Linked DNA regions of Nothobranchius furzeri. The protein of the gene in region 2 purifies or fractionates together with the protein of the main gene of each other region. This does not show direct contact. Links are inferred from orthologs where the notes say so. Each region holds a gene or a part of one and is shown on either strand. Other genes may lie near its edges. The genes, in order: lrwd1 and orc3.

Region 1 (15,989 bases), on a different chromosome or scaffold from region 2:
TGTGGCTAATTTCTGTAACTACCCGTAACTGGCCGCTGGCGCACCAAGGCTTTTTATCGCCAGAGTTTGACTTACGAGGCATTCATTCCTACTAGAGAGACCACTGCAAATGTATTGATTAAATGAGTGCTCCACATTTTTAAGTGTGAACAGGAATTTATAAGTTAGATCGGTGAGATTTGTGGCTCAAACTGTTGTGTTAAACAATCAGGAGTGTTTAGTCTGCTTTTGGTTCATATGTTGTGCAGCAAAAATGGCTTCATGCCATGCTAAAGGGAACAGAACATTTTGTCTAGTGAAAGCTGCCAGGAGTAATTAATCCACTTAGTCTTTGACTTCCCTTCATTTATGTTGATTCACACCAGAAGAGCGATGCATCCGATACTAAACCACTGTTGTGACGCTTGAGTGACTTTATTTACTCTGCTGATCTTTGTGTTTCAGCTCTGATGCAGCAAATCAACGGTCTGATTGGTCTTTTAATGCAGATGCCTTTGTCAAAGTCACAGATTTCAATGTCGGGTAAACTTCTGAGCTTGGGACTGAACCGTTCTGTTCTTTTACTTTAGTGACACTAAGCCCTCCCTAGTGGGAACAGGAGCATTGATGGTGGACTTAAGGGTTGTGAGAGATAATTAACTAACTCCCACTCTCAGCTGTTGTGGGAAAAATACAATCTACATTCTTCACAGAGCAGCTGTGAAAGGTACTTATCAGCTTCAGCTCCAATCGGCAGTGATTAAAACACCAAACAAGCCAGAAAACACACACCGCAACAAAATGAATCTCAGCCAGCAGGTCGATTAAAGCAAACGTACTTGACAACACCAAGCTGGAAGGACCCATGTTCTCTGTCCTGGAGCATCTGCTGCAGGGTTTGGTTCTATGTAGAATCACGTAAGCTGCATGATCGTTTGTTTTTGTGTTCTTACCACTTGCAGGATGGTGGGATTACAGCCAATGATGAAGGGCAAACTCCGAAAGCCCTTGATGCGGTGGGCGATCCGCACAGGCAGCTCTTTGTGAAGGTACTTGGCACTGCTCTGAGATCAGATACAGAAATAATAGTGAGCGAGGACTAGTGCGATGCAGCATGCTCTGTGTGGACGAAGTGTTTACCAGGATGTGGTGTCCATCAGGAGACTTCCCAGAATACAGGAGGGTTGCTAAGGTTAGTCGAACTGAAGCCTTGGGCGAGAAAGACATAACTGAAATAAACAATTTAATTTAAAAAAAAGGTTTTTGATCTACATGTTTTTCTTAAACCGTAATTTATCTTGAAGCAACACTTTGATCTATTGCTTTCAAACTGGTTTCTGTGATTCGTAAGCCAGAAACCTGAACATCTTGACACTGGACAGCACTCTGCAGACCAGGAAAACTAATGTGGCGTCTCTACCAACTTTACAGCAATAGACTTTACTGTGATGGCAGCTAATATGAAGGCAAGCAGTTAGCTTTTTCAGTTCAACAACAGTCACTATAACGTGCAAGAAGAAGCAACATAATGTAGCTATTTTTGTTAGCATCATGGAGGAGCCTGGAAGTAAAAGTTAGAGAGTAATGCCTTTGGAGGAGAAGCAAAGAGCTAAAACCAAACTGAACATCAGAGACGCCTACACTGACGGCTGAAGGAGGCTACGAAGCCACGGACTGACCTGGCTATGTTGTTACTAGACTTGTCCAACAGTGTGGATCATTTTACTTTGTAGCTTATAAAATATCCGTAGGCTCATGTTAGCACTAGCTACAGCAGGCTAAGACAGAACGTTTCTGACCATTGTAATTTTGCTTTGAACCAGTGGGGGGAGCGGGAAACTTATTAAACAAAGACTAGGTAGTTTTGGCTTGCTTTTACACCCCCTAGTGTCCGTTTAGTAGAATCAAAAGCAAAACTCATCTCCTTGCTGTGTGTTTGTATTTAACACCTTAATCTATCAGCAGAAAGGTCTCCCCAGCATTCATTGGTGTCTACAGGAGCGATTCATCACTAAATTAAACAAATCAGCTCTGTTCACGAACTAAAACATGCAGGAAACGTGCTGGAAGCAGACTGCAGCACCAGGTATGTCAGCTCAATTTTTTTCTAATTCCAACTGACCGGATTGACACTCTGAAGTTGCAAATGCGGTATTCTGGCCTCAGAGGGCGTTTGGGGTTTGAGTGACATTTCATTAACCCTGTAAAGAGTTGTTTTCGCACATTCTGGCTCAAGAAAGTGATTTTAAAAATATGAAAACATTGCAAAGTATCCCTTTGTGTTGACAAAGCTGACAAAGTATGTTACTATCTACCTAACGAATTGTTGATTACCTTATTACATAATTATCTTATCAATTTAGTAAATAAAGTTCAGATTTAGAAAAACCAAATGATAAGAGATGGGAAATGATGGGAATTATACTAAATATGAATGTCCTGGAGCTGCAGTTGGATAAAATTACATACTTTGGAAAACAAAGGGAATGTTATGAAACTCAAACTGTGTTCAGTGTGGATGTAAAAGAATACCTGGAAAAAGTACACATTTGCTATTCTCACAACAGTTCAGTGTGTGTAAACATAACACTGAATACAATCAGATTTTACAAGTGTACTCCTTTTATGAGCATGCTGATTGTAACTTGGATAAATAGGAAAACAAGATTGGACCGGTTAGACCACATCTGCAGGTGACCGAGAACACCCAAGTCAAACATTTTTAAGATTGTTTACCTTAATATAAAGTTGTAAAAGAGAACAAATGTGTGTGACTATGTAAAACTTAAAAGTACAAGTGGAGGATAAAAAAGTTGACACAGTTCTTTCAGCTCCACAAGAGCACCAACCTAAATATGGTCCCTTTGTCTCTTCTATTACCTTGTGAACTCAACCATAACAGGTAATGGAAAACTGTCCCGGTGCACTAATGTCTTGCAACAAAGTTGCACAGCCATGCAAAATGCACACAATATTCACACATCTCCCTATATAGCATAAAGATTTATGTGTTTTTATAAAGTTAATATTGCGGAAGAAGTGTGTTAGTTGTGCAACTTAAAACAACACGAGTCTACTAATTCCCTCCTCTTTTGCTGCAGTGAAGAGCTTCTTTGGAAATTCTGGATGACTAACTGGATGACGAAAACTGCTAACAACAGACATCTGGGAAACACGTGACCATAAAAAAACTTTACAAAGGTTTCTACCAGGAACAAAAACACCTGGCTTTGCCAGTGAGAGAAGCTCTACCTGTTGTTTGTACTGTTTATCAATAACGATAGTAATGATTAGTGCTTCGCAGAAGGTTCGTATTAAGTTGTTTTCACGAGTAAACACTTTTACTCTGATTACATCTTTGCACGGACAGCCGTTTTCATGCATTTTCTACGGATGTGTGCTTGAGCTCGTTTTCAGGATGTTCGCTACACAAGATGTTCTTTACGACGCTGCGTTCAAAGTGACGTAAAAGAGCACAGCCGCTCCGTGACTACTTCACAAATTACAGACACACATATTAAGTAATAAGTATATTTAACGTATAATGAATTTAAATTGTGTAAAGTAAGCAAAAAACGCTCTAGAGTTTTAATGTAATTTTATTTTCATTTTGAAAACGGAAAAATGGGAGATAATTAAAAATATTTAAATGATCCGAATTTCGGTGTTTCTGGAGACAAAAATCTTTTAGTTGAGAGACTATGACGAGGTTCATTTTCTCACTTGGTCCGTGACATGTGAACTTGATTTCATTGGTTTACATGTTATTTATTCAAAGTAGCCTGAAAAAAATTCGGTTTTACTGCTATTTCTTCTTATCCTTGAACGCAACACTAACCGTGCTAACGGCTAGCTTCTTTGCTATCAAGCGGCGGCTAGCTCAGTCCCTCCTCGCCACAGATGCACGTTCGCCTTTCAGGAGGAGAAAAATGACATAAAAACCCAGTTCTTACCTTCTCTGCAGAAACATCGATTGCAGACTGGTTATAAAAGGAAGTGACAGTCTTCGACCGCTCTCTTGCCAGCTCTGAAAATCCCTGCGCCGAGGATGTCGAGCGAAACCTCTGACTACCGGCGCCCGACATCGGTGGTGATGTTTTGGTAGCGGGGACCAGTAAGAGGCTACTGAGCCTCGGCCTGGCTAAGCTGCTAACACCGCTCAGCATCTCGGCCGCTTTACCCACAAGTCCCGGACGCATTTGGGGGCTAGCCGTGAGCGCGAACAGAGCTGGCCAGTTCTCCAGGATACTAAATGGCTATGAGGCCATTAGGGTCTTGTCCTGTTGCACAAAGGCATGAATCTGAATACAGTAGCGAGGGGGACAGAAAGGCCTTGGTGCGCATTGGCCAGTGGGAGAGAGCCAAGGAGACGACATGATTGCTGAGCCAATCGGTCAGCCGGTTAGGGGCGGGGCTATGTTACAACCACGCCCCCACGGCACAGACTACTGTACTCGTGAGGAATGAGCGCTCATAAGCCTTTAATAGACTGGTAGGAGTAATGTACAAAAATTAAGAAAATATGAACAGATACATCTTTATATGGTACAAATATTGTATATTAGTGTTACTGTATAATACAGTTCCCAAAGGTTAATGTTGCAATCTATAGGGAACTTGCAGTAATTGTTCCCCAAAGATTCCATGAAAGTCAAATTGAAAGCTGGAGGTCTTTATTCCTGGAACCCACAGAAAACGTTCAGTGCAACCTTTAGGGAACATTCCCTAGAGGTTTGTTCAGAATGTAACTTTTAGGGAACATTCATTGAAACTATTGTTTGTTGTGTTAAATAATTAAAGACAATTTTTTCAATTAAAGTTTTCCATGTAATTTTTTACAAGAATTGTTTTATTTTCTGTATTCTCTCCCAGATAATCTTACTTTATTCACAAAACCTGGAACAAAATTAGCAACATTTTGGACTAAAAAATACAGTTACAATAAAAAACAAGACTAAAAAATACAGTTACAATAAAAAACAAAACAAAAACAAAACAAGTAAAATCTTAACACTCAGCTCATTCAGCACTCTAAAAGACCCATTAACCAGTAACAAACTTCACATTACTTTGATTTTGTTTAACTTTAACCATCTTTCAGACAGTGGGAGTAACAGAATTACATGGGGGTTAATGTGTTAGCTGTCTGTTATGCATCCTGCAGACATGGAGGACATCAGTTAAAGCAGCATCAGCTGAATGACTTTTCAGAAGACAAGTGAATGATTTTTCTCATCTTTGGAAATTTTTTTTAAGTGTGTGTAGTGTTGTAATAACTTTCTTTTAAATTTGAATCATTTTCAAACAATGAATATTATTTCCACAGACAAAAAAAGATATTATAAAACAGAAAAAGAATAAAATAAGTCAATCTAAGTTTCAAGTAAATTTCCACAAAAAGATAAAATAGAATTTTAAAAAATTGTCATCAATAAGTCGACGATGCTGTTTGGTGGAGAAAATAAATTTCTTCAAAATATATTTAAAAATGTGTCTGCTCCTTCAGAGGATTATTAGATGTTGGGTGTGTCGTCCATAATGTGAAATAAAAATTCACATTTTCAGCTAGTAATCTGACTACCGTAGAAAATACCAACATGTGGTACTTCCAGCTCATTTCAGACAGAACAAACATTACAGTTCTGAGTTCACGTCCTCTCTCCTCCACACGATCACCATATTTTTATCAGTGAGGGCCACCAGGTAGCGAAGCTCTGGGTCCATAGCTACACTGTTGATGGAGGGGCCCTCTGTCAGGCCCAGGCCCTTCCTCGTCGGGGACGGCCACTCCAACACCTGACAGAAACACCAAGGACCAAGCTTCAGTGGATTACGTCATTTAAAAACAGACAACACCTCAACAGGTGTGTACAAAGTAGTCTGTGTCAATTTTATTTACGTTTTCTCAACCTAAAGCCTAACCTATACATTTACATTCTTAACTTTGTAGCTCGTGGTAACATTTTAGCACCATAATTACAGTTAGGCCTGGTGCTACCTCCTCTACCTTCTTATGGGTGTGTTAGTTAAACATGGGTGCACACACAGCCCAGACAACAGCATGAAACTGAAACAGAGATGATGATTTGTTTGATTTCTGTTTGGCTGATCTGGAGGTTTGTTTACATCCTGGTTGTTTACTGCCCCCCTCCCCTAATCTGGCTGCCTTTCAGTAAACGGTGTTCTCACATGTCTACTATTAACTTAACGGTTTCACGTTACTGTGAGCAGCAAGTACAGTTGTGCAACCAAGCAAATGCCTTTTCTTTTTTTCTTCACAACAGTTTTAGAGGCATAACATTTTTTATTTTTAAGAAGAAAACCCAATTGTTTTGTCGAAGTAAACACCTGAGTGGGAGGAATGGGTTTTCCAATCTGAAAGCTGTTTTTCGGGAGACTGGTGACGTGATATGTCCATATTCGGCCTTTGTCATCGCCACATGCTATGTAGGCCCGCCCTAAAAGGAAAACACACACCAGGACAAAGCACCCAACATGATTAAACATCTGGATCCAAACAGAGTCAGAAGAATAACTGTGGTGGTTTAGGGACAACTCTCTTTAAAAATAAACATTTGTGAAGAGGGAGGCTGATTTCTGCTGGCCAAAATCCCCAAATTAAAACAACTGGAGGATCACAAACATTTACTTTCAATAAAAACACACAAAAATATTTTAATATGATTCGTTTGATTTACTTATGCAACTTTACAATAAGTATGCAATTGTTTTCTCGTTTCTTGGTCTTGAAAACAAATGTAATCAATACGTTTGCAGCGGTCTCTGGTAAGCCGTACTCGGGCCCAGAGACGCTTGGATCAGCACGGACAAGACCGCTGCAGCAGAGAGCGGCACAACACGGCAGGATTTGGAATCTTACTTCCTGGTTTTGGACACCTCGCCTCAGATTGGACAACAGCAACTTTACCACTGACTTGCAACGCTGATGTTTTATCTGCACAAATAACGCAAACCTGGAGGAGTTCTTCTGTGTGGTGGTGTTGTTAGCGCTAACGGTTAGCTTCTACGATTTGATATGTTGTCTGCTGATTCCCGGACATTAAAACAACCACAGCCTTCCCGTATGAGTTAAAATGGCTGAGCCCGTGAATATTAAGTGACAGTGTGACGTAGATCCGTCAGGCTTTTCAAATCCTAGAGTTTCACCTTCCATTGTCTAGCAGAGATTAATGTAGGAGATAGGTGTAGGAGACTATTTTCATGTTCAGCCTGCATGAAATACTCACAGTGGCCAGTTATAATCAGAAATAACCAGTAAAATGTTTTTCAGAGTTCCACACCTTTAAATTAACCTACAAAGCAAGAATTGTGCTATGACAGTCTGCACTGCACCAACGAGTGGATGATATGGCACTTACCAGGGCAGGTGTTGAGAGCCAGGTAGGGGATATTCGTACTGGCCCACTGCAGCTCAGCCAGAACCACCGCACACACCGATCTGCTCTCCTTGTTGGGCCGCTGAGACCTGGTCCTGCTCCAGCTCCACAGATAGATGGAACAGTGCATGTGGCTCTTAGAGGCTTTGGTTTAAAACAGACAAAGGTAGTCAACATTAAAAACACAAAAAACGTGCAGTTACATCCTTACTTGGTTTGCTTCGCATGACATAAACAAACCAATGTTAGAGACGATGAGTAGAAAAGCTTTGAACGGGTCTCAATGATACTTCAGCAGCAGTCAGGAGGAACAGGCACTGGAATAAATTTGTTGCCGTTGTCATTTTCTCATTTCTGGAGCAGACCCTAACCCTGCATCTGTGAGAGAAGCAGGGTGTGTTCTCTCCACGCCCTGCTGTTGCACATGTCCTGTAGAGGAGAGAAGGTAAGGATTCCTCTCCTGCATAGTGCAGTTTCTATGCCACGCAGTGATGGAGCTGGTGGGTCGCTCTCCGCCGTGCCTCTGCGGAGGTTAAATACGAAGTTCACTCTTGTTTTAAACACATCTGCAGGGGTTTCGTTGGCTTTTAATTCAGTCTAACTTATTCTCTTTCTCCTTTTCTTTTCGAGTTGGATTACTCGATTTGAATGGTTTTAGTTTTTATTTTTGATTGTTTTTATTGTGTTTTTGTTCAGCTTATGGTCGGCCCTCATGCCGTGTTTAAATGTGCTGTACAAATAAACTTGGTATGGTTTCTAGTAGAAATGAATGCCTTGTGAGTCGATCTCTTTACGGCTCCTGTTTCTAGAACTACAAGTGAGCCAGAGCAGTTGGGAGCAGCAGACAACTTGGAGTCTTACTTCCTGTTATTTGGACATCTTGTCTCTGATTGGATAACAGCAACGCAACCCTACCACTGACTGTTTGCTGTGCAACATTGATGTTTTATCTCCACAAATAACACAAGCTTGAAGGAGTTCTGCCATGTGGTGGAGTTGCTAATGCTAACGGTTAGCTTCTACTAGCTACAACGCGCTCTGCTCTCTCCTAGATGCTAAATTAACAACAGCCTTCCCCGTCACAAGCCAAGATGGGTGAGTCCATGAATGTTAATTTTCACTGTGACATAGCGCTGTAGCCTTTAGAATTCGTGTTCAGCCTGCATGTTAAACTCAGAGTGACCAGTCGTATTTACTAAATAACAATAAAAGCCGTTTCTCTGAGAGCTTGCTTTGTAATAAGGAGTTTTGGTTGCCAAATTTCTAAAGATTTCATATAAAGACAGCGTGAGATCCTCGCTGATGCGTGTTGAGAGGAATTTTATTGTCTTGACTCCCGAAATGTCTCATCCAATCAGTAATCCTCTCGGTATTATCTGTGTCTGGGGAAAGATTATTTTCCTGCCACCTCTGTCGTATTTCAACCCCACCCTCCACATGGTGAATAGCCCGGTGAGTGTGATCAGCACATGCTTGTGCTGTTCCACTGTCGTGGATAAAAAGGGTGTGGAGCAGCAGGCTCAGCACTCGTGCCTGAGCTCTCTGTGTGAGACAGCACCCATCTGCAGAGCGGTGATCAGACTGAGGGAGACGAGCTTGATTCCATCACGGTGGGACATCTGCATCATTATGCATTTAAGCACTCCCAAATAACTGAAACGGACCGGGCGTCCTAAGAACAGATACTGCTGAAGACAATGGCTTGATCACATCTTCTGGGGTTTTCTATGTTATTCACTCGTTTAGGAGTACAGTTGTGGAAGAGATTACCCAAATGTACATGAACTGAAATTAGATTTTTGCACTATTTAACATCTCTTTCCTCCAGTTGCCAGGAAGTGGCTGATGGAAAAAAAAAAAACGATAAATGAAAAGAAATAAATGAGGAAATACAGAAAAGGGAGAAATGAACATTTCCATCGGTCTTTGAATGGACCAGTTTAATAATACCTACTGGAGGAAGGGAGGAGGCCATGCTGGGCCGTCAACATGGGAACACAATACAATTTGAAATTGTGAGAAATCCGGTATTTTGATGAAAAATTACGTTTTTGTTTCAAAGACCAAGTTCACTCATTTTCTGTGGAATTGCGGTGGTCTCTGGTATAAACGAATGGCTTGTGAGTCGACTTCTGGGGGAAAAAAAAGCTCTAGCGCTCCTGTTTCAGGAACTAGAAGTTAGCAAGATCAGGGGAACGCAGCATGAGTTGGAGTCTTATTTCCTGATATGCAGACATCATGCATCTAATTGGATAACAGCAACAAGACGCTTCCGCTGCCTCTGTTCGCTTGTTGATGCTTCATCTCCACAAATAACACAAGCCTGAAGGAGTTCTGCTGTGTGGTGGAGTTGCTAATGCTAACAGTTAGCTTCTACTGGCCGAGATGTGATCTCTCTGCAGAATGCTAAATCAAAACCAGCCTATCCCGTCACAAGTCAAGATGGGTGAGTCCATGAATGCTAATGTCCAGTATGACACAGATCTGACCGGCTTTTCTAGTCTGAGCGTTTCCCCGTCTACTTTCTATTCTCAAGAAATAATAAAGCAGGAGGTAGGGGAGGAGACCGTTTTCACATTCAGCCTGCATGTGAAGGGACTGATCTTGTTTCATTTCAATTCAATTCAGTTTATTTATATAGCGCCGAATGGCAAGTAAAAAGGTTTTCTTAGTGAACTTGGTCTTTAATGTCTATGAATTCCCCGCATAAAGGGTTCGGCCCATCTCACCAGCCAAAATCTGCACCATCAACTGTCAATCAATCAATCATATTCAATCATATTATAAATAAAGCTTTGATTGATTGAGTGATTGATCAACTGGGCTGGCTGCAAAAACAAAAAAATTCTAATTGATGATCTAGAAATCTATGATTTGGGTTTGGAAAGCACACGGGACATCACTGCTCCTCCTGGACGCTTGGGAATGTCATGTCTTCAGAAGGATCTACCAAATCATTCACGATGTTCATTTCTGTGACCCTTCTTCCCCTGGCTGTGTCAAAAGGACTGCATTAAACCCGGTAAAGAGGAAGTTAAAAAGTGAACTCGGACTCTAGAAGCGCGAGGTGTTTTTGCTCTAAGCCACAGGACACCGAGCCATCTTGTTTATATTTAAAGCCAACGTGAGACAAATAAATAAACAACCAGATCAATCGCAGGTCAGTTTTACAGATTGTTGTGTGATACTCACTATAAAAGCTACATTCTACCTGGATTACAGCGCCACCATGTGACCATTTACTAGAACTGCTTCTGATTCAGTCTAGGCTCTGGCTCCGACTCGGTCCACGAACTGAACGACGGCAACAGAACATGGAACATAATAGAGGAACCTCACGCACCTATTATGTCATCAGTAAGAAAGCTCAGGCCGTCGATAGTGTGGTAGTCATGTTCTTTATCCTCCTCCTCGTAAATGGGAAACGTAATCTCCATTTCATTTGACCTGCTGAGCAAAAACAAAAGGCTACTGAATAATCCAAGTGTCGCTTTAAAGATCCTCATCATCACTTTGCCCTTTTGCACTTATTCATCCACTGAATGCTTTTACCTCTTTGTGGAGCTGCTGGTACCCAGTTGTGTGTTGAAGCAGTGCAGGCCGTCGTCTGAGGCGGTCAGCAGGTGTGAGCCGGGGGAAGTCGGGGGCAGGCAGATGTGCAGGGGAGTGGCGCTGACCTCCAACACCAGCAGCTGACTGGTGGGGAGGAATGAGAGACGGTAAGGAAGCAGAAAACATGACTGACTCAAATCTGGCCTGGTTTTCCACCGCTAACGTCGGGTAGAGATCCAAACTGCAGATTCCACAAGTTAGAATAAAAGAAACTCACACAACTTTGAAGTTGTAACTGCTGTCCACTCCTCCGATATCCCACATGATTATCTTGTTGTCATAAGATCCGGCTGCAAGAGGTCGCACACAGACGTTAATCAGGAGCGTCGTTTAAAAACTAAACGGGAAAAATCCCAGACCTTTGTTTGGTTTTCATCAGGTCAGGTGAGGTGACATACAGATCAGCAGGTAACAGAATCATCACACAAGCTGGTGAGAGACGCCCGTTCCTGAGTCTGACCCGACTAAAACTCACTGAAGAAGAAGTTTCCCTGATTGTGGTTGAAGCGGAGGACAGAGAGCGCCTTTCTGCTGGCTCTGAACTCGCCGTAGGCCACGTTGTTCCTGGGATGGATCAGTTTGACGAGTCCTCTCTTCCCACCGGCAGCGAGGATGCTGCAGGGCTGAACTGGAGCCTTTCCTCCTCGGGACATCAACACAATGGACCAGGCCAAGGAAAAGAACTCCTGTGACAAGGAACAGCAGACCAATTCAGCACCAACGGCCACACAGCAGCAGCTTTTAACTGCTAAACCTGAACAGTCGCTCTGCTCTGTACGGATCAGAGAAGGGTTAGGGTCAACCCACACACCTCTCCTGGAACTTTGTACTTCTTCATCACCATTCCCGTTTCACAGTCGATCACACACAGAGAGTCTCCTCCACATGTAGCGACCAGGCGGCTTTCACTGCAACAGCCTGTCAAAGCAGGGTTTCACAGCTCGCTCAGAGCCTCACAAACAACTCTAGTAAAGCGTTAGCTATCCGCTTTCATACACAGCTGTTGCTGTAAACCACGGAGGACTTGTTCTGATAAATCTGAGTGGATCAGAGGGGTTCATCAGTACCAGAGGAGCCTGACAGAGGCTGGAAAGCGCAGGCCCACAGCTGCGTGGAGAAGTCCCCGGAGCTGTCCTGTTTACTGTGACACTGGAGCACGTGGAGAGGCTTCAGATGCACCGGCTGCTGGAGGATCACACACAAGAGACGGATGAGAACGAACACAAACCCCTGTGGGTTGTTGTCTGACAAGATTGTGTCTTGTACGGAATAAACGACGACACTGGAATGTTTTTGTGGTTCTACAGCATCTAAAGGAGTCATCTGTGTGTTTCTTTACCTGACTCTTAGTACAAATCTTTATTATAGGCAGAGTGTACTGACTCCTGTGCAGCTGTTTGGTTTTGCTGACTTCTTTTTTCTGTTCAACCCGAACTTCTTCCTCTTCGAGTTGCTGTGATTTAGACCTCTTCCTGGGCGTCTCTGTCCTCGCCTGTCCTCTGGTGGGAGTGGAGACAGCCCCGTCTGTCCGGAGAGAGACCCTGCGGGACTTGCGAGGGCTGTCTTCAGCAGCTGAAGATTCTAGAGCGTTGACTCTCAACTTCTTGTGAGGCGTCAAAATTACTTTATCATCTGTCACCAGTTTGGTTCGTTTCCTCTTGGAAGGCGAGGAAATTATCTGAGAAAAGGAAGATAGAGTAAAATGTTTGACCCAGTTTGAACAGAAACAGCAAGAAGTTTTATTTAGAGACGCCATTTGTGCCAATGACAGTATTGTAACAGTGAAGTTTAAATAAAAGGTGCTGATTAGCAATCTTACACAGTTCTTTGTGGCCTCAGCAGACTCCTTGGGGATGAAGTCTTCTTTTGGTTGTGTCAGTGAGCGCAGATGCTCTTTAGCAAGAATCTCCACCTGAAAAATCAAAAGGAAGTAAAAACAAAACTGTTAAAAAGGGATGAAAATTAGCAAAAAAGTCCCAGAGATCCTTGTAAATTCAGGACTTGCCCTCCATTTGGTGAAATCGCTGACTGAACTGGGACCAAATTTGACTTGATGACGAGCAGCGTTCACAAAGTTCTTCTCCAGATCGGACATTTTGCCGGCCGTGATGGGATCTGGGAGACTGAAGCTCCGCTCCCAAACTGTGACTATCTGAAATCAAGCAGCAGCTGAGTGACCCAAGTGTGGGATATGATGAGAAAGTGCAGCAGCTGGGTCGTTTCCTTTTAAAATGCAACATTAGAGGTGTGATGCAATCGAGAGCCACAGCTTAACTCAAAGTCTAATGAATAATCATCATGAATGTTTTCAAACGAAAGTATTAAACGGTTTTCATACCCTGGTCCTCAGGTTGTCACTGAACACGTATCGTAAGTGGCTGGCAGTGGTGCTGACATCTTTGTTGTTGTAAATCCTCAGTTTGGGCAGCAACACCATCAGCTTGTAACTATCACTTATCTAAAAATAACAGAGTCAGGACTTGATCTCAGTTGTAAAAGAGAATTTTAAAGTTTGAGACAAAAATAAAGGAATATCTAACAAAAAGGAAAAGCTGCAGCGCTGCAGAGAACAAAAAGACGTGCTAATAAAACATCTAGACTTGTTGAAGTAGTTATCTGATGACAGCGTTAGAGGAAAACTTCCTTTTGGTTTGTTTTTTTCACCTCATGTGGATATTGTCGCGGTAAAATAGTCATGGGTGGAAAAACTGCATCACATGTAACAACCAGACTCCAAAAGATGCCACGGTAACGTTTTACGATTCTGTAAAGTTCTGAGATGAATTCAAAGACAGAAATTATACTTAAACCACTCATTTAAATAAGACCAATCGAATAGTTTGAATTTTAAAAAGGCAGCTCCGTCCTTTATGTTATAACAGAGACGGAACGGTACTGGATTACATGCGACAAAAACAGCCAAGTCCTCACTGTGATGTAAAAGTTGTCATCCATTTTTAGTTCCTCCAAGCTGCTCAGAGACTCTAAGGTGGTGACATCCTCCATCTGGTTGTTGGTGAGGTCCAGGTACCGAAGTGCAGGTAGCTTCAGGTTCTTTGGAAGCTCCTGCAGCCTGTTCCCGGATAGATCCCACCGCTCCAGGGACTGCAGGCGGGATAGCAGCTTCACAGGAAGATCCCCGTGCTTCAGCGCCATCTTAGACAGACTAAATAGAAGAAACCCGTCAAGTCAACATGGGGATTTTAGATCAAGCTTCATATCTGCAAGTAAAACTAATTTTACTATTAAATGCGATTAGTCATCAACTGATAAAAGAGTGACTTCACCAGAACACACAAATAGTTAATCAAGGGGGAAGACTTACTTCAGAGTTTTGATTTGCTCCAGTTTGTTGGTTTTTGGAGAACCTTTCTCCAGTAAAAGCTTCTCTGTTACATTCTCCATAGCTGATCTGCTGGAAAAGGACATCTAATGTGGAATCTATCAGCAAAATAACATGTTAAACTTTTATTCGCACTCACTGATTAAGTTGTATGGCCTGATAAGTTTAAATAATGTCTGTACTTAAAACGAGCTAAATATTTAGCATTTTTTCATTTAGTAAAGAGACGATGCCATTGCCAAGTGACATCTTTACTGAGAAAAATTTAATATAACCAAATCAACTTCATGCTTCAGCAAGGTAAAACTGAATCTGTTAGTTTGATTTCGATTGGTTTTACTTTAGCAGTAGCTAGCATAACCACGTTGACACGATCGATTAATCAACTCTTTGCTAGGTTAGTAGTTAGTAATATAACTGACTCTTTTTCTAGCCATAACAAATGAGCAAACACCTTTAATAATGTTTAATAAAGTATTTTTTATGTTACTTACCAACTCCTCTCTGCAACTTTTGTGTCTGCAACACAACTGACCTTTCCCGGGGAAACTCCGTCTACATCCGGTGGGCGTGGTTTACCTAAAACTTTGGCCACAGTTTACCCTGAACATTGGCTGTAAGACAAGTCAAACAAATACGACTTTCGATTATTATATTTCTTGTTTATCACATATATTACTAAGTATTGTCATATTTTGTTTTATTTGAAATTTTAATGCGCCAATAACAGTGCGGCAGAACGAAAATAGGGGTTAAAAGAAGTAATTTTACGCCTGCGGCTCCGTCCGCTAGATGGCAGTGGAGCTACGATTTCCAAGTAGAAGAAGATGCAACATGATGATGATGGTCTCTGACGACGGCGACGGGGTTATTCCATGCGCTTGTAAAGGCATCCGACGCTGTCTTGTCTGTGAAACGTTTAAGGCGAGTGTACTGCTTGAAACAAGAGAGTCAAAGGTACGTGTGTCGAACAAAAATCTCAGTTTTAATGTGCGATGTAACGTCTGTAAACCTTGGTACGGAAGCCCTCACTGGACAAATTGTGTTGTTTATCAAAAATCACTCTTGTTTGTTCTGACAATATTCTGGTACAATGTTGTAAATTTGATTTAAATAATGAGATACAACCCTGGTTTATTTAAATGTTGACGGCATGTATCTTTACTTATTGTGAAATGAAATTTTATAATTAAAACATGTCATCACAGCTTTTGTTTATTAATGTTATCTCTGTTTTTGGTATGAAGATTGTGCATCATTTCCTCTATAATGCCAAGACGGGGCTCGCTGTCAGCGAAGATGAAGAGGGCTCTTCCTTCCCTTTTTCTGGAGTCTTCCTGTGGGAGAACTTTATATCAGAGGAGGAGGAGAGGGAGCTGATTAGCGTAATGGACCAGGATGTGTGGCATCCCTCACAGTCTGGCCGAAGGAAACAGGTGGAAAACATTTAATGAAAATGTACTTTTTTGTGGGTTACATATTTTTAACATTCAAATTTTTCATTTTACACGGTTGCAGGACTTTGGCCCTAAAGTAAACTTCAAGAAGAGAAAAGTGCGCATCGCAGACTTTACTGGACTTCCTGCTTTAAGCCAAAAACTGGTGCTGCGGATGCAGCAAGATGCAAATCTTGCGGGCTTTCAACCAGTGGAGCAGTG
Region 2 (14,583 bases):
CCCGGCCACCTCCACCACCTCCTCCGGCAGGACCCCAAGGCGTTCCCGGACCAGATTGGAGATGTAACCTCTCCAACGTGTCCTGGGTCGACCCGGGGGCCTCCTGCCAGCAGGACATGCCCGAAACACCTTCCCAGGGAGGCACCCAGGAGGCATCCTGACCAGATGCCCAAACCGCCTCAACTGACTCCTTTCAATCCAGAGGAGCAGCGGTTCTACTCCGAGTCCCTCCCGAATGTCCGAGCTCCTCACCCTATCTCTAAGGCTGAGCCCGGCCACCCTACGGAGGAAACTCATTTTGGCCGCTTGTATCTGCGATCTCTCTGCGAATAACTAAAAGTAAATGTAATTTTGTTAATTATAAGTACAAATCTGTCACAATCTGTGATGCAGAAGGAACCTAGGAGGCAGGCTGAAAAGCAAAATAATTTTGTTAACTAAACAACATCAAGGTCGGCGCTTCAGAAAGCAGGAGCACAAAAGCTCAACAGAACCAAAGCTGCAGCAGTGAACGCTTCAGTTTTGTCTGCAAACCAATTAGCTACTTCCTTTTTTTATAACGTCGAAATTAAAAGCATGGAGAAAACCAAAGTAATAAAACGACAAAGGATCAAGTAAAACCAAACACCAAAACATATGTCTGAACTATATAGAGATCCCTTTATTTATTAGTTTTCCACGCCGTTAGTGCGTGTTTTAAACGGGGCTGTGTCAAATTTTTCTGTTAAGTCGATCATCAGGTTCTGGGCGCAGCTGCTGCCGAGTTCATTTCTAAACAGCCTGCATGGTGATCGGATGCGCTTCCTGCGCTCCAACACCTCAGACCACGTGACCAGCAGGCGCACAAAGCACAGCCATATAACCGCGAGGGCGCTCCCAAACAGACTCACACCTCTCCGGCTGCCTCCGACACACACGGGATTCCTAACCAGGCAGATCATCACAACAACTCAAATTTCTGTCTCGCGTTCATTGTTCTAAGACTTCAAACTTTTTTTCTTTTCTAAATATTTAGTTTTTTCGCGGGATGGACTGGTCCAGGATATCTGTAGCGACTCAATAAAGGTAAGTAATAAACATCTAACCATCATAAATAAACTTTATTTTTTTTTTACTCAAAAATTCCCTTAAAAATGTTTTTTCTCGACATCTGACTTGATTAGATTGTTACTAATTAATATCATGATCCTTGTCATATGTTTACGGTTGATTGATCAGGTTTGTAGACCCTGTCCCATGATACCTAATTATTCAAGAGATTACTGGAAAAGGAAGAAAGCTTTAATGCTTAATGACCTCCTGTAATTAGTTTTAAAAAAAAGCTCTGCATTCTTAATGTGAAGATTTCCCTCAGGGCTACAAGTTCATACACTGTTCCCACTATTGTCTGGGATGCATCTGATCTGGAGTCAGATTCTCTGAAATTACAAAAATCTCCTTTATTTTATGTTTAATGATACCTTAATATGCTTAAATCACCATTTAAATAAGGAAAATGCTTTATCCGCATGAAAAAATGTCTTATTTCTTCTGTAGATGTGTTGTGTGAGTGTAATGCTAACTAACACCCCATTCCTCTGAGCATCCCTGCAGCCACTCAGCAGCCATGAAGCTGGCTGCACACCGGATCGCAGGCACAACGATGAGCACACTAACAACAGGTGTCCAGTATCTCGGCTCCAACGATGCCAGCTACGACGACCCCTCCGCTGACTCCAGCCTGGTTAAGAATAGATTCCACTTTGAGAAACCGTACTCTGCCTCCATCAGCAGCTCCGTTCCTGAACTCATCCCAGGGAATAAGGAGGTCATTTTCACAGCGCTTTCTCCCATTTTTCCCACCAACGTGTCAGACTTTGTCCTGGATAACGCCACCTCCGTGGAGAACAGTGGAGCTGCACAGTGCACTGAGGACTTTGTGGACAACTTGGAGTGCTTTATGATCCTCACTCCCGGTCAACAGCTCGCCATCGTCATCTTAGCGCTCACCCTGGGAACTTTTACGGTGCTGGAAAACCTCATGGTGCTGTGTGTGATCCTTCACGCTCAGACTCTTCGATCCAGGCCCTCCTATCACTTCATAGGCAGCCTGGCTGTGGCCGATCTGATAGGAAGCATCATTTTTGTTTACAGTTTCTTGGATTTTCATGTCCTCCACAGGAAGGACACGCCAAATGTTTTCCTCTTCAAGCTGGCAGGAGTCATCGCCTCCTTCACGGCCTCTGTGGGCAGCTTGTTTCTCACCGCCATTGATCGCTACATCTCCATCCACAGGCCCATGGCGTACAAGCGCATCGTTACAAAGACTAAGGCGGTAATCGCTTTCAGTTTGATGTGGTCCATCTCCATCGTCATCTCGCTGCTGCCGCTGCTCGGCTGGAACTGCAAGCGTCTGGGCTCGGTCTGCTCCGACATCTTCCCTCTGATCGACCAGAAGTACCTGATGTTCTGGATTGGAATTACAAGCATCCTGCTGCTGTTCATCATCTACGCCTACATGTTCATCCTCTGGAAGTCTCACCATCACGCCGTCCGCATGCTGAGCCGCAGCTCTCAGAGGAGCATGATTGTCTACACGGCAGAGGGGGCAAAGGTGCAGACGGTGAGGCCTGAGCAGGCCAGGATGGACCTCCGTCTGGCTAAGACCCTGGTCCTGATCCTGGTGGCTCTCATCATCTGTTGGGGCCCGCTCCTAGCCATCATGGTGTACGACCTCTTTGGGAAAGTGAACGACTTCATCAAGACCGTGTTCGCCTTTTGCAGCATGCTGTGCCTGCTCAACTCCACTGTGAACCCGATCATTTACGCCATGAGGAGCAAGGACCTTAGGAGGGCTTTCATCAACATCTGTCACATGTGGCGAGGAGGGACGCAGACTCTGGACTACAGCACTGAGAGCGACTGGAACAGCAGGAGTGTGAGGGCGGCAGCAGGTGGGGTGGGGAAAGATGGAAGTGTTTGTAGAAAGACCCAAGTAAAAGTGGCCCAGGTCACCATATCTGGAGGTACAGATACTTTCACGGCAGAGCCTGTCTGAAAAACATAGTGCTGCAAAAGTGTGAAGAACTGGAAATTTAGTTGAGTTTGTTAACAGAAGAGTTTTGTTACTGTGAAATGTGCCAAAATAACTTAGGTGCAGTGTGGAACTGCAGGGATTTAATGAGAACTTATTGTTAAAACTTGAGATAAACAGGATGAGTTTTGATTGTATTGTGGATTGTCTGATCTTATTCAGTACTTTTTTCCCTCCACCAACCTATCCTCATGTAATTCCTTCTCATCTATTAAGGTAGCGCGACTCGTGTTGCGAATGACCACAGTCACCAATTCTTGTCATGTGTCTTGCCCATGTATGTCTGATCTCTGAATTGTGTGTACTGAAACTCAATTTCATTTCTCTGTATGTCTTGCACATGTGGTAGAAATGACAATAAAATGACTTTGACTTGACTTTTGATAAAATGCATATTTCTAAAACATTTTGCTCAGTAATTATTTTCTTTTTTTTTCTGGGACAACTTTCAAAAATGTAATCTTTTTTATTTGAAAATGCAGGTTTTTTTTTTCCTTTTAACAAACACAAAAAATAGCCTTTTGTGATTATTTTGTAACATAATATGAGCAATCTTGTGCCGGTGATTTAAGACAAACCCATGCACCATATTCAGTGTGAGAAAATATGCTTGTAAATAAAAGAAGCTTGTCGCTAGTGGTGAATTGTACAGTGTCATTATCAAATGTAAAGACCATAGAATTGTAAAATTTGGCCACAACTATTTTGTATGGATATCGTCTTATTTATTTATTTATTTTATTATATTTGAACTAATTCTCTTTATCTAATAATTTTTAAGTGTGATATTTTATAATTCTGCATGGTTTTGCTTTTTAAATTTGCTTTTATTACATGTAATACAGCCATATTTTGTGAAATGTGCCATTTTGTCACTTTACTGACATGTGCTTAGTAAACATGTCAATCTATTTTTGTCAAACTGTCTGGTAATTTTTCCACAATAAAATAAATAAGCCCCCACTTTTAATCCTCTGCTTTGTTTTATTAATAATATAAATGACATGCATATAAATATTATTTTTATGGTTTTTATTTTTATGTATGTGCATAACACCTGTTAACCTACTTATTAACCTAATAAAATCACTGTGAGCAGTTCAGCCTTAGAGGACTGGTAATGTATATTACCGGTAATATGATGAATTGGTTACATTGCAACCACATCCCAACAACTAAATGCAATCCAAATAATGCAACCACACTGGAACGTACACAAACAGCATTTCAGCTAAACCTCTGCTGTGCAATCTTGCAGGACTTTATTTTCATATTTTTAACAACGCAAATAATCTTTATTAAGAAACTCATAGTGATTGCATTTAAATTAACTGAGAAAAAAGTTTTGTAAATTCAACTTTTTTCCTATTTGGGGTGTGTCAAAGCGCCCTCTTGTGGATTAACTCATTTAGGCAGAAAGAAAAGATGAACAAATACTCTACGTCAGCAGAGTAATAACTTTTAAATTCAAAAGTTTAATATCAAAAGCATAAATTTAGCTTAATTGAGGCCGTATTTCGTCCCGTGTCCAAGATCATTTTGTCGCCTCTCGTTTTTCACTACATAACCCATAACCCCTAGCGTCCCTGTTTGGCGCGTCACGTGACAACCCAAAGAAGCCGACAGTGTCGAATCAACAAACAGGCTGCTTAGCAGCGTTAGCTATAGTCCTTATCTGTTGGCTCTTGTTGGCCCGCAGCTGGCTGCTCGTCCCTTTAACTTTTTGGGAAAACAATTTTAACAACACCAAGAGTTGGTTAACGCTGTCGGATAGATTTGCTTTGCAACAAGAGGTAAGACGTTTAAGTTTATTCAAAAAGACATGTAGACACCCTCGTTTAGCGACATCCAAAGCTAGCATTACCGTTGTTTTCTTTTTTATCGGTTTGCTAACGATAGCTTCTTTTAGGAAAGCAGAACAGCGCAGTGTTTAAAAGGCATTTATCGGATAATATAAACAAATCCTACTTTAAACTGAGAACATACATTAGTTATGGTTCGTTGTTGTCTAATTACTGCTTTATTGCCAGTATTTTAAACCACCTTCCACAAGTTGAAGTTATGGCGTGTGGAGCCACCCTAAAACGGACCATGGATTTCGATCCGCTCATGAGTCCTGCTTCACCTAAAAGACGAAGATGTGTCCCCGTGCCCCCTTCGTCTTCCTCCCCGAGGAAGTACCTCAGCATGGAGCCCTCACCGTTTGGACAGTCGTCGTCCAGACTTAGCGCAGGTAAAGCCACTGCTGTCCGCCAACTGGCCTATTAACACATGTTGATCCACACATCTAAAAATCACCAAACACCGGTTTAAACGGGTTACCTAAACACCCGATGGGCCCCATTTCTGTTTCTGACCCACTAGAACAAATCCTCAACAGCATCAAACAAGAGTACAAACGCATTCATAAGAGGAAGCATCCAGATGGAGGCATCCAACAATCAGAGTGCTGCTATTCTCCAGAGTCCCCTTCCCAAGCGTCTACCATGAATGTTTCCAGCATGCCAGGTTGGTGAGAGTGGAAATCCAGTCAGTAAAAAAAACTCATGAAATGGCTTTGACATTAACTCAAACACCTTGTTCTATATTCAAACTAATGTTGTTGTTGTTTTTTTTTTTCAGGGACATCCTCGGGAGGCGTTTCTCCAACCAGAAAAGAACAACCTCTGTTCACTCTGAGACAAGTTGGGATGATTTGTGAGCGCCTGCTGAAAGAAAGGGAAGAGAAGGTGCGAGAGGAGTATGAGGAGACCATGACTTCAAAGTTGGCAGGTTGGTGCAGAAGCAGTTCAGATCAATGTTGTGTAGAGGGATGTAATAAATAATAATTTTACAGTGAACTAATCACAAAACTATCCAAGGTCTCAGTAAAGTTAAGGAAGGTTCAATTGAAACAGCTAGCTGGGGGTTTGAGTTTTTCTCCTTTCAAAATGGCCAGAGAGGGACTTGGTCTTTGTTTACAGTCTGTCCTGCCTCCATACTTCCTGGTTCCAGAGCCAGTCGTACGTGAGCCCTCAAATTTTCCAAGTCTTCGCTGCAGTGCCGGCATCTTTTATTCAACAGCAGCCCCCCAAAAAGCAGCAGCGGTGTGGAAAGATCTTAAGCCAGTAACAGGAGCGACTGTAAAGTTATTTCTCGCGACCTCTAAAAAGCCACGCAATCATTTTGTTTTACTCTATCGGGTAAAGTAAACTAGAGGCTAACTTTGAGCTAACAGTGAAATAGAAAACAAATTGTCTGCTCTAAGAATATCTCAAGCTACTTTGCCAGTTACTAACCACTAGACATTACAGTAAAATGTAAATATCTACTCAACTTACTGTTCGTGACTCATCTTCGCTCGTCATCTAGGATCTTTGGGTGCTGATCTGTAAATGGACACTAAACGATTTTTTCACTTTTTTGAGCCAATTTTCTCCTCGTGTGAGAATATCCGAGATCGGGGTGAGTTTTGCGCTGAACGTGACCAGCTATGGATCAGCAATCATAAGCTCGCAGGAACTTCTGGCGTTTGCTAGTTTGCTCATCCCTCGTGAGGGTATTGCTCTGTTGAAGCGGCGCTTCAAGCGGCTGCAACCCAAAAAGTACCAGAACCGCTCACGGCGCATGCACTAACATGCGTCAGCACGGCTCGCCCTATATACACGCCTTGTTCGTTTTTATTTATACGCTTTTTTTTGCACACAATTACGATAGTCAAGAAAGCATGTTTGCTGCTTAAACTGATAAAACGTTAATCTACTTTTCCATTCGTCTTCCTCCTCCAACCCCCTTAAACCCGTGTCCTCCTGCAGCACTCCCGAAGGACAACAGACATCAATAACAACACAAAAACAAGTCCAACGTGTCGTGTAAAAACGGCTGTTTTTAGATCCAGTGTGTTGCTACCAGACGTGCGGTGTGAGCAGTCAGGTCGCCTCCGAGAACCGGGTCGTACGGTGTGAAAACATGACTCATAATATTTGCGCTGCGAGGAAGTCGCAGAGTTTGAGCAGGATGTCCCGAAGGTCCGCCCACCTGTTCACCGCTCGGACGTCCTGATCTTCTACCTTCCTAGATCATCCAGCTGTGACCTGTTTCTGATCATTTTAGTCCCGCTGTAACACTGATGCATCAGTCTCAAGGTGTTACCAGAACTACCTGTGTGTGTGTTTACCACCCAGCTTCAGCTCTTCTGTGTTTGGGTCTGACCCAAGTTAGTAAATTTAATCAGATTTGTGTCTCTTCTAGTGTCATTTTAAAGGATTTTTATTTATTTATTTAACCATTACTAGATCAGCAACAGAAATGCTACTAAAACACACAGTTATGTGAAGCTGGACAAATTAGAATGCTGTGCAAAATTACATTTATTTCAGTAATTTAACTAGACTGAGAGACCATTTAAAGGCTCAGGAACCTTTACATGTGTTTCTATTTGCAATAGTAAATTTTAGTTGATTCGGGTCTTGTTAAATATCACACAGTGACATTTTAAAAGTCTAGATAAGTGTAATGTTCCCGTTAGTAGTTCCTCCTGTTAAGTGTTCATTTATTTCAATGATTCAGTTTTTTGAAAAAAAAACTTGGACATATGTTTTACTGTGTTCCAGTCATTTATATTTCACTATTATAATTTATAGTCAATTAAGTTTAATTAAGAAGGGACCCCATTTTTCTTGCTTTAATAATAAAAAAGGAACAAAATATTTTTCTTGGTAATTAGTTACATTTATAATCTTGTAACTCTGTAACTGACTTACTTTTTTGACAAAGTAATCCGTAACTATAATTACTTTTTAATAGCAACGCTCCCAGCACTGGTGTTTGATCAAAATGTCCAGAGTGTCAGTTAAACTGAGGTTACTGTTGTTTTGCAGGAATAAATCACAAACTTGCTGAAACCATCAGATGGAGCATGTTCTGTAACACATTTTAGTTCACCAGACATGCTTTTAAATTCCCCAACCTCTCCTTTTTAACGTGTTGCATCTGAGTGACGGCAGCGTTAACCGATTCCTTTCTGAAATTCCAGAACAATACGACACCTTTGTGAAATTTACACACGATCAGTTAATGCGACGATTCGGAGAGCAGCCGGCGAGCTGTGAGTTCCTCTTTTTTTCTTTCCACATTCCTGCTCCACTGGCCTGGATTCAGCTAACGGGTCTGGTTTGTGTATTTCATCTCTCTTCTCCAGATGTTTCCTGAGTGTGGCACCGACGCTTTGCAGGAAGCGAGCTCGTCATGATGCTTCTTAAGAGTTCCTCGTTGGGAGAGATTTGATTTTAGCTAGTTTAAATGAAACTTTTTACCGTGCCATACGTCTGTTGGGCAAAACAAGGTTTGAATGAAGCTGTTGTTGGCAGTGTGTTGTAAGCAGCCGTGTCCTTCCTGATGTAAATGAGCGGCCCCCGTCTCCACCAGTGGCCTCTGTCCCTCCAGCTATCTTACTTTTGTAATGACTCCCAGCATTCCAGACTTGTTGCATGTAAATATGAGGAAATCTCTAACATTTTATAGGATTTGCTGGTCAATCTGAAAGGGAGTGCAAGAACTTTAGTGATTTTCTTTTTTTTAATAGGCATAAAGTGAGGGCTAATTTTTTTTTAATTAGATTTCCACCCCTTACTGATATCTCTTAAGAAAATCAGGGACATTTGATTTTTATTTACAGAAAAACTGTGCGTTTGAGTCCAACTTAGCACAAAAACCACAGATTTATGTTTTTTTTCCCCCCTTGAAGATTAGATCAACAGCCTCCCCACGTGAGTCGAGCCACATGGTCGGTCTTCTGCTTCGTGGACTTGATGAAGCCCAGAAACTCCAGCTCAGCCACGGCGCGGATGAAACGAGCGCTGAAAGGAAAAGTTGAGGAAAAACAAATTTTAAATCTTTTTGTCTGATTTCCATGAAATCAGTCTGATCACATCTGCTGTCAAGGACTGTTACATTTTCTAGGGGCAAAAAGTAAAATGACATAATTGCTTCGTGTGCGTGTGTGTGTGTAACCCTTCAACATGTGAAACAAGTGAATTCCCTGAAGTGTCACTATGTTTCCCTTCTTGTTTGAATAAAAACTTCAGCTGCTCAACTGTTAGTTTTGTTTTTCTAACTGAAAATTTTCAGATTTAGTAGAGAAACTGAAATCAGAAAGGATGCTGTTTGACTTCGTCCACTTTCCCGAAGCCGTCGGAGTCTGGATCGGTCCCCTCGGCAGCAGAAATCACGGTGGAATACGCCTGAAAACAAAAACAGTCGAACAAAACCTCTCCGACAGAAAATCGGCTCATCTCTGGAGCTAAACGCTCGTCTCACTCACCTCCAGCCAATCGTAGAGGTTGATCAGTCGGCCGCACTCCAGGTGGAGCTTGTATGCGATGCAGATATCCGGAGCAGAGTTGGACACTGTGCCGTCGTCGGACTTTAAGCTCTCATTCTGAAAATAAAGCCACCGTCAACATCTGACCGTCGTCCACAGGAGCAATCTGTTGTTTTATGAAGACGAACCTGAAGGTAGTGGTAGGGGCTGCTGAGTGCAGCCTGAATGGAGGTGCGAGGTGCAGCATTGAGGTGGCGTCTGACAGCAGCTGAAGAACTGTAGTAGCAGACTTCATACAGCGGCTGAGACTCTGGGGGGGATAGGTGACTCCTGATTGGCACAAATACACATTAAATTAGCTATTCTGTTACTTTAATCAACTCTTGTGGATCTAAGTTTTATTTTTCATTTCTTACTTCACTAAAGTGTCGATAAAGTCCAGAGCTTCGTTACGTAGAGCCTCAAACGGACTCTTTTTCCTGGATCTGCGAGACTCCAGCAGCGTCTGCAAGTAGATCAAATGTCCAAACGGCTTTAAAAAAGTATTTCGTCAAAGAACAGAAAAAAATGTCTGATGGACGTACCTTCTGCAGCTGGAATAGATCTGTTTTCTTTGGAAGGTTTTTTACTGGAGAGGTGAAGTTTTCCTCTGAAGCGGTACTCTGATCAGTAGCAGGTGCTGTGTGAACAACAAAAGATTATGATCATAAATTAAAAAAAAACTTAAAAATCCTGCTTTGAACTACCATCCAGCTGCTGGAATTTGGACAGTAGTTCCTCCAGTTGGACGCAAGCACTCTTCATCTGAGTTGACCTGATGGGCTGCAGGATTTCTGCACATTTCTGCAGCAAAGAGATCAGCTCGTCTTTCGCCAGCATCCTGAAGAAAAAAGTACAAAAATACTGACCACCAGGGGGAGGAACACCTCTAAAAATCCCACAACTTTGTCGCCACCTAGTGGCAAATCTAACTGGCTGCAACTGAATGGAGAGATGGCATTGCGTTTACATCAAAATAGCTAAATAGAAATGCCTCAAAAAATAAAAAAATTACAAGTTTTATGTTGAGCTCAGCTTACTTTAAAAGATTCACAGCTGACTGGTACTCCTCCGCCTCCCACACGTTCTTCTCCAGGCAAATCAAGTGCAGCTCCCTGATCTGCAGCAGTAAGAAAAAGGAGACTCCAAAAATCAAAGAACGAAGTGAGACCAAAGCAAAAAGATGGTTTAAATGAAAGTTTAAAACTGTTTTCTTGCCTGTTTTCCGAGAGGGTATCGAGGCAACGATGAGGTCAGAGTGTGGAGACACCTCAAAATGGGATAATAGCACTTGTGGTATTTGTGAAGATCCTTCATCAGTTTTTGACAAACGTTCTAAAATCACAAAAAGGATAAAATCCTGTGCACAAAAAAAAAGTCGTCTAAAAACTGAAATCTTTAACAAACCTTTAAATGAGAGTCATCCGTCCTGAGCTTTTCCTGCTCTTCTATTTCTTGCTTTTCCACAAACCTAAAAACGAATTTTAACACAAAGAGCTTTTTTTTTTTTCATTCAGTTATAGAAAATGATCATCTCAGCTGGTTTTGTTCACCTCCTGAACGACGGGAGCTGCCTGACCCTCTCCAGGTCATCATGGCGAAGGTGTTTCAGGTTCAGCAGAGCCTTCTCCTTCCTACAGCACAGCACGCTGAGGGGCTGCGAGTAAAAGTGCTCCAGCAGGGCCAGCTGCACCCAGGACGGGAAGATAGTCGGGAGAAAATCAGTCCCTTACATTTACATACCTTACTCGTTTAGACCCCGATCCTCACCTGCAGGCCCTTAATGAAGTTTTTGACTGAGAAGTCGTGGTAGAGGAAGATGCCCACCAGCACCTGCATCACTTTCCCGTTGAGTTTGAAGGGAAAAGAATGTGTCAGGATCAACTGGAAAGAAGGGATGGACTTTTATCAGATTCAAAATCTTCGATCAGCATGCACAGATGTCACGGTGAAGGCACCTTTTCTATGACGGTGGTGAGATGCTGAGAGCAGGACAGGGACTGGAAGAGCTCTATGCACAGCAGCGAGGACACAGAGTGAGGCAGCATGTGCTGGATGGTGCTGGGCGCCGTGGCGATCCCGAAGATAAACATCAGGGGAAGACGCTGAACGTAACGGCTGTGGATCAATCATCAGACGCAGTTTTAACCTTCCAACGTAAACCGTGAGAGCTTCTCACGTGTCTGCTCTAAAGTCACCTGCAGACAAGGATGAAGTCCTGAAGAACTCTCGGATTAAAAGCTTCCAAATCTTTGAAGACGATCACCACCGGAGGCTCCTGCTGCTCGTTAACGACCAAAGAACTGCGCTTTTTTCCGGGAGTTCCACTGCTGGATTTCTTAAACCCAAGAAAACGTTTGTTTTCACCTCGCCGAATTAAAAACCTGCATGAGCGGACCTGCGTCGTGTCCTCACCTTTGTTTTCTTACTATACCAATCGCAGAGAGTCGTCAAGGAGCAGTGAACACTCCTGTGGTGCTGCTCCGTTTCCTCCTCCACCTCATCATCATCATCATCACCTACAGCTACAACCGTGTCCATCAATCTCTCCAGAACCTTCTTCATCAAATGCTTAAGAGCTGAAATAATAAAACCAAAAAGTCTACTCCTGAATATTGTGACATTTACAGTAAAATCCTGACGCGTTTGTATATTTTGAAGCTTTTCCCATCACCTCCACACTCTTTGGCTTGCACAGACGCCACATGGGGGGTGACAGACGTCTGGAGCAGCTCAGACAGACTCTGGAAGGTCATGTCATGATCTGTGACGTTCACGCCTGCAGTGAGAGATGAAAGTCAAATGCAGCTTGCGGGATTTTTGTAATAATGCAAGTTAGCAGCTTGAAAAAACAAAACAATAACTACTGGGTACCAAGGATGAGAGCGGCTGTGGGAATTTCACTTGCTCTCATCTGTGAGGTCCAGTCACTGTGATGGCGGATGGAGGAGCATTTTTTGGTGAACTCCAACAAACTGTCCAGAACTTTTCTGTTGAGCTCATCCTGTAAAATCTTATTTAAAAAAAAAAGATTATGCTGATCTGCACATTCTCTGTATTTTTTTGATATTATAATTTGTTCTTACTTCTGTCTCAGTTTTGATTTGGTCCCACAGATCCTGGCAGAGCTCGAATCTCAACTCACTGCTCCGTGCATCTTCACAGCCATCAGTGAAATAGCTCTCTGTGTAAAAATACAGACACGTTTATATCGCAACAAACAGATCCAACTAACAACTCTTCTCTGTCTAATGTAACATAGCTCACCCAAATCAAGGGTCTTTTTCTTCTTTTTAGCGCTGGGCTTGAAAACAAAGCAGCCCTAAAGGGACACAGCAAAACACAGTCGAGTCTGACGCAAATATCGCGAGGTCTCCATTTTTGTTAATAGAAACGTCGTTGAACGACAACAAGCTATAAGAAGTTACCTTTGAAACAGAAGAGGTGGCCATCTTTCTTCAAACTCTTTGTAGTAGTTTCTTTTTTAAAAAAACGCTACTTTTCATGAAACGTAGCCGCGACTTCCCGCCAGAGTGACGTTTACGGAAAAGGTTGGAAGTGTTAGAATGTATGGCAAGCCGCTATAGCATATAATTAGATGTAGCCGCTATAGCATATAATTAGATGCCGCCATAGAATATAATAGACAACAAAATGTAACCGTGATCACACACATATATTTTATTTTGTGTGTTTATATTTAAATATCACAAAGCTGTCTAAAAATTGAATGACTCAAATATTAAACACATTTTCTGTGTATTATAAAATGCATGTAATCCACAATGTGTATTAGTCTTGTTTACCACATCTTTTAGTTTTAGATTAAAAGTAATTTGGCTTTATTTGAATTTAAATAAAAATAAAAATGGAGCTTGTTATAAATTCAGAACAGCTTCATAAACTACTTATGAATAAAGTAAACATATTGACAATACATTATGAATGTGATTCTGCAGATTATAATAAAGTATAATTTAAATCTTTTAAACTGGCTCTAGCTTCGTCCAATTTGTGAATGCTGCATTTTATCCCTTTCCCAGAATCTTAATCCTTCCGTGTACAGCACTTTGATCATGCCGTTTTTAAATGTGCTATAAATTAAAATGGTTTATGAGATCATCTTTGAAAGTTTATTTAATTCAAGAAGTTACAATTTCATGAATAACTGGGTTTAAGCAGCTGTGTTGTTGTATTTGTAGATCAAATTGATGACATTTTTAAAAAGACAAGATTTCACTCGTGCTTTTATAAAAAAGAACCAGTAACATTTTATTGAACACTTTGTGGAAGACATGTAAATATTACAGATAGGTCTACTAGTGTTGAAAAGGGATGAAATAAATACAAACAGGACTCGAAATCCCATAGGGATATTTATAAAAACATAGTTTTCTTTAAAAGGTGTCCATTTAGTAAAAGAAAAAAAACATATTCAGTACTAAGCATAAATACAAACATGGTTCTAAAATCTATGCCCTATAGCTTACCTGGTTATTATAACTAACATACATAGTTAAAATCATCAGAGACATATTTTTTCAATTAGGTACAAAATAGGCCATTTCATTGTTAACTGTGACCATGACTGTTAACAGTTGGAAATCTGATGCATTAAGAAACAAATCATTCTGCAGCATAACGTCTCAAATCCTGAGTAAGACAGGGTAGGAAACAAAAAGACAACAACAAAATGAGCTATGATTCACTAAAAATCCTCTTTTTTATAATAACCGTGGGTCTCATATGTTGTAGCTGCTTAAGTAAAAGTTCAGCACCATCTGAAAATGTTTTATCCATAACAATTTTTACATTACTCACAGAATTTAGCTTTACAGGGTTTCTGAAGTCTATAAGATTCTCACAACCTCTAATGTCGTTCGTCATTTGACTTTTACTTCCAGATTTCAGTTTGGGAGTCTGTTGTCTTTTGTGCGGCACCTCAGAATTGGGTTTCTCATTTATTTTACGTTTAGAAGAAACTGTTGTCTCTGAGGTTTCCAAGAACTTGAGGAAGGAGTCCTCGAGTCCTAAAGGCTTGAAACATCCCGGTGAAGCCCCATCTTCTCGTTGCTCTTGGGTCGAAGGGGTACCGGGATTTGAGTTCTCTCCGGAACTGTTAACAGTCAAGCGGTTTCTAAGGGTCTGCATCCTTTCTGGACATGCTGGT

Evidence for each region.
Region 1: the proteins of orc3 (region 2) and lrwd1 purify together in Homo sapiens (affinity purification with mass spectrometry; 4 studies listed by BioGRID and IntAct, with this or other methods). This does not show direct contact. The link is inferred for Nothobranchius furzeri from reciprocal best matches to the Homo sapiens genes ORC3 and LRWD1.

What each region holds. Positions count from the first base shown.
Region 1 is NC_091750.1:30,538,501-30,554,489, forward strand, and holds lrwd1 (leucine-rich repeat and WD repeat-containing protein 1), read right to left. Parts: upstream 14,898-15,989; 5' UTR 14,826-14,897; intron 14,430-14,825; 5' UTR 14,418-14,429; coding exon 14,314-14,417; intron 14,155-14,313; coding exon 13,920-14,154; intron 13,447-13,919; coding exon 13,327-13,446; intron 13,141-13,326; coding exon 12,994-13,140; intron 12,901-12,993; coding exon 12,808-12,900; intron 12,667-12,807; coding exon 12,328-12,666; intron 12,174-12,327; coding exon 12,056-12,173; intron 11,907-12,055; coding exon 11,800-11,906; intron 11,675-11,799; coding exon 11,464-11,674; intron 11,279-11,463; coding exon 11,206-11,278; intron 11,073-11,205; coding exon 10,929-11,072; intron 10,827-10,928; coding exon 10,720-10,826; intron 7,521-10,719; coding exon 7,359-7,520; intron 6,438-7,358; coding exon 6,328-6,437; intron 5,776-6,327; coding exon 5,614-5,775; 3' UTR 4,972-5,613; downstream 1-4,971. Other genes in the region: bckdk (branched-chain alpha-ketoacid dehydrogenase kinase), read right to left, coding at 933-1,043, 1,120-1,188, 3,933-4,178; alkbh4 (alpha-ketoglutarate-dependent dioxygenase alkB homolog 4), read left to right, coding at 15,124-15,288, 15,579-15,767, 15,850-15,989. UniProt on the Homo sapiens protein: Required for G1/S transition. Recruits and stabilizes the origin recognition complex (ORC) onto chromatin during G1 to establish pre-replication complex (preRC) and to heterochromatic sites in post-replicated cells.
Region 2 is NC_091758.1:29,116,456-29,131,038, forward strand, and holds orc3 (origin recognition complex subunit 3), read right to left. Parts: upstream 12,962-14,583; 5' UTR 12,866-12,961; coding exon 12,842-12,865; intron 12,736-12,841; coding exon 12,681-12,735; intron 12,598-12,680; coding exon 12,500-12,597; intron 12,427-12,499; coding exon 12,288-12,426; intron 12,193-12,287; coding exon 12,088-12,192; intron 11,993-12,087; coding exon 11,829-11,992; intron 11,752-11,828; coding exon 11,612-11,751; intron 11,532-11,611; coding exon 11,372-11,531; intron 11,298-11,371; coding exon 11,184-11,297; intron 11,101-11,183; coding exon 10,967-11,100; intron 10,885-10,966; coding exon 10,821-10,884; intron 10,749-10,820; coding exon 10,632-10,748; intron 10,534-10,631; coding exon 10,454-10,533; intron 10,255-10,453; coding exon 10,121-10,254; intron 10,054-10,120; coding exon 9,959-10,053; intron 9,880-9,958; coding exon 9,791-9,879; intron 9,705-9,790; coding exon 9,563-9,704; intron 9,492-9,562; coding exon 9,375-9,491; intron 9,295-9,374; coding exon 9,215-9,294; intron 8,911-9,214; and 3 more. Other genes in the region: cannabinoid receptor type 1B, read left to right, coding at 1,607-3,037; akirin-2, read left to right, coding at 5,135-5,306, 5,438-5,581, 5,696-5,845, 8,088-8,159, 8,253-8,263; znf292a (zinc finger protein 292a), read right to left, coding at 14,112-14,583. UniProt on the Homo sapiens protein: Component of the origin recognition complex (ORC) that binds origins of replication. DNA-binding is ATP-dependent. The specific DNA sequences that define origins of replication have not been identified yet.